Linked DNA regions of Drosophila melanogaster. The protein of the gene in region 1 purifies or fractionates together with the protein of each later gene. This does not show direct contact. Each region holds a gene or a part of one and is shown on either strand. Other genes may lie near its edges.

Region 1 (5,494 bases):
TGCTCGCGCCGCTCTTCACGCTCTTTGCGTCCCGTAATATCGTTCATGTCCATGCGTTCTTCATCATCCGACTGATCACCCTCAACATCTTCGCAGGGCAGACGGTTGCTTAGCTTGGCCGGCTCCTTGGGCTCCTCAATAGGTATATAGTCGCCTGCACCTGGAATATAACACAAAGAGTAAGCCATCGCTAGTGTGGCAACGTGTCGAATCTTACCCTGTTCTCTAGCCCTTTGCCGACGTTTTCGGGCAGCGTGTATCATTGCTGCATCCGGAATGGAACCACTTTCGAGCATCTGTTTCAAATGTTCTGGCTTGGAGAAACGGTGACGCGTTTTGTCATGGCCACCATCCTCGGATTGCTGGTCTTCTTCATCGCTCATATCCTCCCGTCCAGCGCAAAGGGCAGCTCTACCGTTCAGAATTGCCTCGGGAGTCTCAGATTTCTTTACCACTAGCTGGGGACAAGATAAGTAAGTTTTATATTATTGTGGATTCCTAAAGGACTTCGATTAGGGTGAAGCATTGGTATTCATGCTGCTTTTGTGGAAGGGAAGACATGCGACTATCAATGGTGGGAAAATTACTATTTATGTGACTACGTTAGCAATGGCTTTGATTTTTGGTAATTCAAAAAATATATCTTTGAATGTTACATAATATTTAAATAGTTTTCTTCTGGTAAGGTCAAGTTGTATGCGTCAATTTATTATCAAAGAAAGAATGAGTTAGAATGTTCTGTGATAAATTTTCTAATTCGTGGTCATAGTTACAGTAGTAGTACTTAAAGATCGCATTATAATTGGAAATTTTATGTTGAGTGATAGTTGGATCGCAGATCCTAGACACTTCCCATCACTGACCAGTTAAAACGCCAAGCAAATCAACGTCTAAGCTACTAATATTTTAAAATTGGCACTTCAGACCAGAAAAACCAACTAATTTAATAACACATTTAAACTCATTCAGCCTAATCTTTGCTGCTAATTGTTCTACGATAATTCAATGTAATTTCTGATGTTGAAATTTCGTTAAACGGTATTATTGTAGAAGAAATTGAATAATAATAACCTTACCACAAAGTCGTCTGTGCGTATTTCGGTTTGGATCATATGATTATCACTTTTTTTACTTTTACTCTGATCGCTGGCACTTTTATATCTGCCAGCATTGGCAGGATTCGAGTTGGAATTCGGGGGACCCGATGATGGGCCACCGGACGACTCTAAATGCTGTGTACTACCATTTTCGCCCCCGGGATGTCCGCTGTTTTCCGCCCGTTCCTCGCGCTTCTTCTTGCGGCGTTCCTTGTCCAGCATGCGCATCACTTTCTTGCTATGCGACGACTTTCGCACCTGGAACACCTCGCCGTCATCCTCTGCAAAAGAATTGGGGATTTTGGCTCCATACTCTTTTTATATTCCGGTATCACTCACCATCATCTGCGAAGCTGAGCAGCGCCTTTGGCTTGCTGTTGTCCTCCTGCGGCTTTATGGCCTTCCGGCTCTTCTCTTTCTCCCTCTTGCCCGAAATTATGGGAGGCGGTGGCGCCTCCATTTCGGCGTCCGGATCCAAGGATGCGCCGTCCTCCTCTTCGTCAGCGTTGCTGGAGAACACGCGTCGCTGAATTTTCTTCGGTTTGCGAAAAAGCGACATTTTCCACGATGTTGTTGTTACTCTGCGATTTGTTTAATCAATGAAAAATCGGAAGAAAAGCGAATTTTCGCAAGATCTCTTCTTCTTGCTGTCGTATTGTAATAGAGATGAAAATCTTTCGATGTCGTTCTCGTGCTCACGTGAGTCACGAGCAGGGCTGGAACGTTAATTCTCGGTCCTCGGTCTAGCACTTACAAAACTTTTCTGTATTGAAAATATGAATAGCTTTACAAATTTTGAAACTATTGTAACAATTAAATAAAAATGTGATAAATACATTAATTTGTATACCCAGGGCAGCTACACATAAAACTGGTCTTATTAAAATATCGGCAAGAGCTTAGATGACTTTTCATCCCTAGATACCGACAACGGCCATCTCTAATCTCTGAATTCGGCGACCGCAGGGCGTTTCAAAACAGACCGAAAAGTCGTTAACTTATTGGTGCCTTGAGTCACAGAATCTCTAACATGGGCCTTAAAGGTTGTGAATTGCAATTGGACAACCCGTGGAACACCTACTACGCCGGTCAGACGGTCAACGGCCAGGTGAAGTTTACGTTCGACTCGCCCAAAAAAGTCCGAGGTAAGTGCGAATCCAAGTCCCAATTGTGGGCAGCGCTGGAGAATGCTAATTAAAACCCCAGCTGCTTACTATTACTCATAGGAGTGACGACACCTGTGTAAGAGTCAATGATTAATTGGAAATTTAGTAAATAAATATACATAGCACTTTCGTCTTCAATGTGCAGGATGTTCACTGGCTGTCGTTGGTAGTTTCCTTGCTAACTTCTTAAAATCCTGACGCAAAAAGCCGGCGCACCACCCACAAATGTCGGTTGCTCTTTCGGTGCCTAAACGACCTTGTTTTCAGAAAGCTGGCGGTTGTTAAACCCTCCAAAGAAATGCACTTTCTCCTCTTTTCAGTTGGGCGATAACAACTATAAATAGCTCCAAGTGTGAATGAATACAAAAGAAAGTAAATAAATATGTAGTACATTTGACGGGGGCATGTAACCTATGTGGCAAACATTCCACCATAATCAAATTTTGAGGTCACCAAACACGGGAGACAGATGCTGCCTGGTAGCGATGATGTCATCCGTTGAGTATGCCTTAGAAAGCTTTTCATATTATTTATAGCTAAAATTAAAGCGCCACAGTGACGTCGTCGATTGTCATTCCGTAAATACAGCCACTTGTTTCTCGTAGGTATTATCATTCGGTTCCTGGGAGAAGCCAACACCGAGTGGTCAGAGGAGAAGAGCGTAACCACCAGCGAGGGCAAGACCGAGAACGAGGTCACCCAACTGAAGGGGCATGAGGAGTACTTTAAGATCCAGTACTATCTGCTGGGCGGCAAAAACAGTAAGTACAAAAAACAGACCGGGAATTCACTCCCCGGTTGCCAGACCTTAGTTTATCTGAAAAGAATTGGAGGATTTAATTATTGAAAGTGTCTATTATTAAGCATAAATTTTTGTATTCTATGGTGTAAGAATTGGCCAAGAAGATTTTTGTTTAAAATTAAATTTGTCCTTATATGAATCGAATAAATGGGATTGCACTTCCTCGCTCTATATAAAATAATAACTAAATCTTGTAATTACTATACACCTTATAGCATTAATAACTTCTCCTTTTGAAACTACAATAATTTAATGTTTTTATTTAGCTTTATTAAATAATATACCTTGACAGACCCTTCCTCTGCGCGTAAGAATTGAAAACATAATAAGCTATAAGTGACCTTTTTAAAATGCTAAAAGTTAAATGTATGATTTTGCAGGCTCTGAGACGGAACTACCGCCTGGCACTCACACTTATCCATTCACCTGTGCTCTGCCGCCTAATCTACCCTCATCCTTTGAGGGCGAATTTGGCCATGTGCGCTATACCATCAAGGTGACGCTTGATCGTCCGTGGAAATTCGATCAGGACATGAAGATGGCGTTCACAGTAATAGCGCCCGTTGATCTAAATCTCAATCCTCGAGTCAAGGAGCCATTCAAGCTCGAGCTAGAAAAGTCATTCTGCTGTTTTTGCTGTCGCTCAGGACCGCTGGCTGTCATCACGAACATCCCGCAAACAGGATTCGTTTCGGGGCAGGTGCTGCCCATCACCTGCGAGGTGGACAACACCAGCAACGTAAATCTTACGGCAGTGAAGTTTGAACTGCGTAAGCTGGTCACCTTCCACACAAACCAGCCACGGAGCGAGAAGCGCGAGTCCAAGGTGATCATAGCCAACTTAAGTGTTGGCCCAGTCAATGGCGGCGAGTCTCGCACGTTTACGCAACAAATGGAGATTCCGGCGCTGCCACCGACCAACCTCCTCAACTGCGGGATTATCGCTTTGGACTACGACCTGCATGTGGAGTGCGAGGTGAGCGGTCCGCACCGCAATCTCACTGGCAAGGTGCCAATCACCTTGGGCACTATTCCATTGGCTGGCGTACGGCCACCTACTCAATTTACGGATGCTCCGTCGGCGGTTCAGTCCGAGGATCCATCGCTGGCGCCCACACAGCCAGTGAGCCCGGCGAGCCCTCCTGGCGGCGATGGCGTGGGTGGTGCTCTAGGCTGGAACGTGGCTGACAGTACTGGTGGTGGTTCACTGTATCCTAATATACGTGAGTATTAAAATTATGGAGTTTTGTGGATTTTCTTTTAAATTATAAAAGCTTCTTAGTAGGGTTATATATCTTTATTTATTAAAATATTCTATTTTCATTTTGCAGCGCCACCGCAGTTTGTGGAGACACAGTACCGGGCACCAACGATCGCCGGTAGGGACGACTCCGAGCATACGCAGATGATCGGCGACGGAGCCTTCGCACCTCGGTATCCGACTTTCCAGTTTAATAATGCCACAGCACCGCCAGCTAGCCAGTGATTGAATCTCTAAGCTAGACCCACAATGATATTCTTAAACTTTGATGTCGAACTATTTTCTTCTGGCTGTCTCTGTTTCTGGAGGGTTAGCTTTCGCAATTTTTATCGGCTTTGCATTTATGAAATATTAGCTTTCCGTCCAAATAGAAAGCATAAACAGGTGCAGTCAAAATAAAAAAGGTCTACCTATACAAAGTTTTTGAAATGCTTAACTTCTGTTTATAATTAAATAGCTTTCGGACAGTAAATACAAAGAATTGGGTCTTTATTATTTTGACTGCATCTGTGTTTAATTTAATAATCGTATAAATACGCACAATTGTCAATTCCGATTTAAACTGCTCAAATTTAATTTTTTCTGTTTTTTTTTAAGCCAGCAATAGTGCCTAAAACTGATGTACGACTATAATCGTAATAAAACACAAAAGATAATGAAGGTTTGATACATGGGCATAGCCAAATCCTGGGAGCCAAAAATGTGTTGAGCCTTGAGGAACTTGTTTTATACGGAGCATTGGGAGATTTAAGAACTTGGAATGATGGTGCTATCGTTCCATATTTACTTCTTCTTTTTCTTGCAGTATTCATTCAGTTCCCTGGCCTTTCTTGCTTTCTTCTCACACTTGCACTGTTCCTTCAGAGCTATTTTTTTGCATTTGGCCTTGAGGATCTTCATCTTCTTTTTCCTTTGTCTAAGCTTCTTTTCGGCTATTTTTTTGCATATCTGAAAAAGTCCTTCGGGATTGGCTTTCGGCTTCGGTGGTGAGGGTGGTGCGGCTTTAGATGGTGGAGGGGATGGATTAGCAGCTTTTGGTGGTTGGGCAGGAGGCGGAGATGGCGTTTTAGCGATCTCCTTCTTCACCTCCTTCTTTACCTCCTGTTTGATGTTCTCTTTGACATCCGTTTTAGCTACTGGAGCAGATTTGCTAGCATTCTTCTTAACT
Region 2 (5,026 bases), about 18 Mb from region 1:
GTGAGTAATGCATTAAATTCGAATGAATATCTCTGTAACTATTTATATTCTAGGTGAGCACACTGGAGGGCGTTACCAAGACGATGTACAGTCGTGGAACTCACGACCAGCATGTGACATCCCTAGACGACTTTAGTTACGCCACCTTTGAGAAGGGTCAATCCTCGGTGGTTGCCCTAGCTGTCACCTGTGTGATCTTCGGCTCCTGCCTCCTGCTCAGTCTTATTGCCTACTTCTATCTGCGCTACAAGACCTGCCGCGGGCGACGATTGACTGGTGGCAATACGCACGAGATGACGCTGCAAACGCCCATAATCGAGCGGGAAAATAACGGATACCTTGTGGAGGACGATCCACTGCCACACTCGCCGGAAAACTTCAAGCAGCAGTTGCAACAGTTGGTGGAAGGATACGAACGGATACCAAGGAATGCACTACGACTAAATGTGAACGATGTGATCGGAGACGGACGCTTTGGTGAGATTATAACCGGAAAGGTTTCCACAAACGATTTTGCCAGAGATTGCACCCTGCACGTGCTCTGTCTGGACGATCTGAATGGTACTACACAGGCACAGTTGCTGAGAGAACTACGTCAGTTGTCTCAATTGAAGCGCCAGGAGCATTTGCTAGATTTCTATGGAGTATCAGCAAGTCCCGATTGGTTCTACCTAATCTTCGAGCAGCAACGCATGAGTCTAAAGAGAAAACTGGTGGAGAGTCGCCTGATGGCACCGTCGCCACGCTTGACTTCCCTCTCTGAGCAGCTAGTGCTGCAGTGGATCTACGAGCTTGCCAGTGCCATGAATTATCTATCCAGCTGCCAGGTGGTGCATCGACAGCTCTGCTCGCACAGCGTCTTCGTTACCAGCGATTTCAAGCTAAAACTGAGCGTCTTTGGACCGCTGCCCTACATGAACATTGCTCGCCAGCAGCCAGACCACAACCGGTGGCTGGCCCCGGAGGTGCTGCGCCATCAGCATCACCATTCCACCCGTTCTGATGTCTGGTCCCTGGCCTGCGTGGCGTGGGAATGCTGTGCCCTTGGCGGTACTCCCTATGCCAATGCAGTGGCAAGTAACCAACAGCTTCTAGAGGCCATTCGGGCTGCAGTGCGTCCGGCGCAGCCAGCCTACGTCTACGGGGATCTCTACCAGCTGCTGCTCAACTGCTGGCAGCTGGAGCCGAGCGAGCGGAGCAGCTGTGAGGACGTGGCCTTCGGAGTACGTCAGCTGATGACCTCACCGCGTCATGCCCTCAGCTTTGATCGAGTGGCCGGCGGACTAGACACCCTGCCTCCGTACCTGCCGCAACTGGAAGCCGTTGCTACGATGGGCTGAGGTGCAGCCGAATAGTATAATTAGCTTTAGTCAGCGAGAGACCACATTCGCATAGAGTAGATTTCGGTTCTGAGTCACTGCTGCTAAGAGAAAACATCACTTCATTTCGATTTTAGATGAGTTCACTTTCAGTGTTCTGAAGAGAAAATAATTTGTTTTAGAATTTACACATTGATTTAATAAAGCTCATAAATTGTTATTATCCATATAATATTAGAAGTGAGCATTTATGAAACACAATTCGATGTTTATTGTTAATACGCACAAACTTCCTACAAATAAAAGAGTGTTCTATGCCAGAGCTTATCAGATCTATAAGGTAGTTAATTGCTTATCTACAACCCGAAAGAAAGGAATCGACTTTCCCCCACGCGAAACAAAGTTCAAGCGAACGTGCTCGATGGAGAGCGCGATAGATAAAAGACTACTGACAGTCTGGCCCCCAAAATTGTGTAATAAATTGAGGGATCCATAGCGAATGGATCTACCAACAGACCAGCGACTGTGATTCCCCCGCCGATCGCTGATGTTGCACAAACCAGACAAAAGCGAAAACTAAAAGCAAAAAAAAAACCAAGGGAGAGAGCCGCGAATGCGAAACTTTGATCGCTGGCGAGCAGCAATTAATAATAGAAAATAAACGGCGGTGTTGCTTAAGTGTGAGTGGATCAAAATTGACGATTAATCAGTTTAAAGGTCTTGCATTGCATCTATTGTTTGTTATGTTGTTTAAGAATTAATTAGGGAAATTGTTGGCAGCAGCCTAGATGCGGTTACATGCATTATTAGTCATCCGAAATAGTAGGGCACTTTATGTATGTATATTCCATTGGTTTGGACAATCATCTTATAATGAAGCTACATAGCAAAAAAAAAAAAAAAATCTAAATCTGTGTATATTCTTCCGATATGCACTTTTCAAATGAAATGTTCAAAATTCGTTATCAGTACTTAAAATTTCTCACTATGTACAAGCTTATCTCGGGATCCTTCCCAAAGAAGATAAGCCATTGTTTCTCTTGTCGACGTGTAACTATTGGATCCACCAAAAAACCCAAAGCACATGGCTCACCCGGAATTTAGAGCGACTTTCTTATAGAGTATATGGTAAATACGGTAAATGAAGCGCAACGATATCCATAGCGACTTTTGGACGCTTACCTTGCCCGCAATTCAAGGTGAAATGACGACGAACAATTGAAGTCACTGAAATGTGTATACATTCCGAGCAAATGGGCAATTATTATTAATAAATCGAGCTGAATGGCTGCTATCGGAATTCAGGGGCTTCGACTGCCGACCATGCTCATGAATATGTGGAAGATGATGATGATGATGAGGTTCATCCGGTATTGGCCAACTTTGCGAGTGTTTTGCATTCGCCTGGTTAAATTGTTATTGTTTTTGTTACATATACACACATGGAGATTATGAGGAATCCAAGGAAACTGGTTGCTCACACACGCACACCAACGCACTGCGACGGAGCCACTCACGCACACTACCAAATGGTCGGCTAACTGCGCAAATAATGCGGCTTCTGTGTCGGCCTTTGTTACTCACTTTACTTAACCATTTACATCGGACACTGGACTTCACTGCGCTGCGATTTTTCGACACTTTGGAAGCAGAAAAGTACGTATTTTGTTTGTGCTCTGCCAATGGTGTGACCGTACACCGTTGGGCGAAAAATCACCTATAAGTGTGGGGGTGAAAATTCATTAGCCAACACTGAAATGCTTATCGATAACATTTAGCTATTTTTAGTATTAGCTAACTGGTATATATTAACGGTCATCATAAGGTCACACTGCAAACGGTTAAACGAACGGCCACATTGTGTTGGACCGATGATGTGGATTTAAAAGTTAAATATTTCAAACTTAGTTATAGCAAATAGCTATGGACATCACCCAGAGCTTCAAGGCCAGCGTAATGACGGTGCGCCTGCAGCGCAAGGCCGAGCTGGCCGGAAAGGCCAAGCCCGCCACAGTGCCGACAAAAACTGGACCAATTGGCCCAAAGGATGACTTCGCCAAGCAGGCCAAGGAGGTGTGCAACAAGATCACTTCGCTGCGCAATGTGCTGATCGAGAACCGCACCGCCTACATGCGCATTGGCCAGCACCTCAAGTCCGCCGCACACATGACCGACGCGCAGCGGGATCTGATTGATCGCGAGTCGGAGAAGTTCGTCACCTTTTACACGCAGCACCTGGCCAAGATGCGCAGCGATTGGAAGAGCGCCAAGCGGAAGCCGCAGGAGCGTCAGCACATCGACGCCGTGCTGGACCTGCTGGTCAGCTATTTGCACAGCGTGGAACAGATCTATCTGGACCAAAAGAAGTACCGTGTGCAACACGAACTGGAAACCTATAGGCTGCTCAAGCTGGCGGCGGACAAAAAGAAGATACCAGTGCGTCCGGCGGGCAGCAACAGTGGCAAGCTGGGCAGGCGCCAGGTCAGCAACGATGACAGCGAAGCCACGAAGTCATCTTCACAAGCAAATGGCAACCACGACGAGTCCGCCGACAATGACTGGAATAACGACGCCTGGGGCGACTGGGATGAAGACGAGGAAGGCGACGAGGTGGACGATCACGATGGCGAGAAGGGCAAGGAAGCCAATCAGGCCAATCAACACAAACCGCGTACGCGCAAACGAAGCAAAGCCAACAGATCGGATCTGAACAACTCATCCTCCAAGATGGCTCTGGATGAGGAGCTCCAGCAGCAGCAGGAGGCCGACGATGACGATCCCCTAAGCGCCGAGGATGTGCAGCTCTTCGAGGCGGAGAACGTACACATCTACAACTTTCTGCAGGGCGTCTCCGAGGAGGTGGAGCAGATCGAAAAGAACGTGGTAGACATTGCCCAACTGCAGGACATTTTCACCGAAAAGGTAAGATGGCATGATAACACAAGTCCCAAGGAATCCTTGCTGTTCTTAACAACGATATCTTTAGTTTAATTTTGGTGAGAACATATTGCTCCATATTGCCAAGAATACTTAGTGGGTTTAAGTGGCTGCCCATATGTTTGTCGACTTAATCCTTCAATTAAAAATATTAATTGGCTTCGCTAAAATCCACATCCTTCGCGATTACAATGGATGTATAAGCCGGGCTCTTATTAGCATGCAATTAATTATTAACTAGATCCAGATAGATCCACGTCCTAATCTCATTTAATCCTCTTAAATTTCCCTTTCCCTTTTGTAGGTCGCCATGCAACAGCACAATATCGACAGGATAGTTAGTGCCGTCGTGGGCACCACGGAAAACGTCAAGGACGCCAACGAGCAAATCCGGCAGGCCACTCAACGAAATGCAGGACTACGCGTGTGGTCGCTGTTCTTCCTGCTGGTCATGTCGTTCTCCCTGCTCTTCTTGGACTGGTACTACGATTAAGTGAAGTCCCCAAATTTATGTGTAACCCACCCAATTTAGGGAATGATAAATGCAAAAATGTTTTGTTATCGTTTGATCGCACTAAAAGCATATTTTGTTTATTACATAATTTATAAATAAAAGGAAAATATTTGTTTAGGCTATTCAACTGCCTTGTTTCAATTCAATGAAACCTCGTACAACAATATGGAACTAAAATCGATTTGAGCGCCTTGCTCACACATGTCTCAGTAGTTAATTTAAATTCTACACCAAAATGTGTTTTAGTGTGTTGCTT

What was found. Proteins that work in one complex are often made in the same cells at the same time.
Region 2: the proteins of CG1105 (region 1) and atl purify together in Drosophila melanogaster (affinity purification with mass spectrometry, with the first as the bait; 2 studies listed by BioGRID). This does not show direct contact.

Annotation. Positions count from the first base shown.
Region 1 is NT_033777.3:7,063,672-7,069,165, reverse strand, and holds CG1105 (uncharacterized protein), read left to right. Parts: upstream 1-2,029; 5' UTR 2,030-2,127; coding exon 2,128-2,242; intron 2,243-2,868; coding exon 2,869-3,024; intron 3,025-3,445; coding exon 3,446-4,288; intron 4,289-4,396; coding exon 4,397-4,551; 3' UTR 4,552-4,980; downstream 4,981-5,494. Other genes in the region: CG1965 (uncharacterized protein), read right to left, coding at 1-160, 218-458, 1,077-1,378, 1,437-1,656; Mst84B (Male-specific transcript 84B), read right to left, coding at 5,110-5,494.
Region 2 is NT_033777.3:24,623,690-24,628,715, reverse strand, and holds the start of atl (atlastin), read right to left. Parts: upstream 3,046-5,026; 5' UTR 2,904-3,045; intron 1,651-2,903; exon of another isoform or gene 1,341-1,650; coding exon of another isoform or gene 54-1,340; intron 1-53. Other genes in the region: wsck, read left to right, coding at 54-1,340; Syx18 (syntaxin 18), read left to right, coding at 3,243-4,241, 4,561-4,749. UniProt on the Drosophila melanogaster protein: Membrane-anchored GTPase that mediates the GTP-dependent fusion of endoplasmic reticulum (ER) membranes, maintaining the continuous ER network. It facilitates the formation of three-way junctions where ER tubules intersect.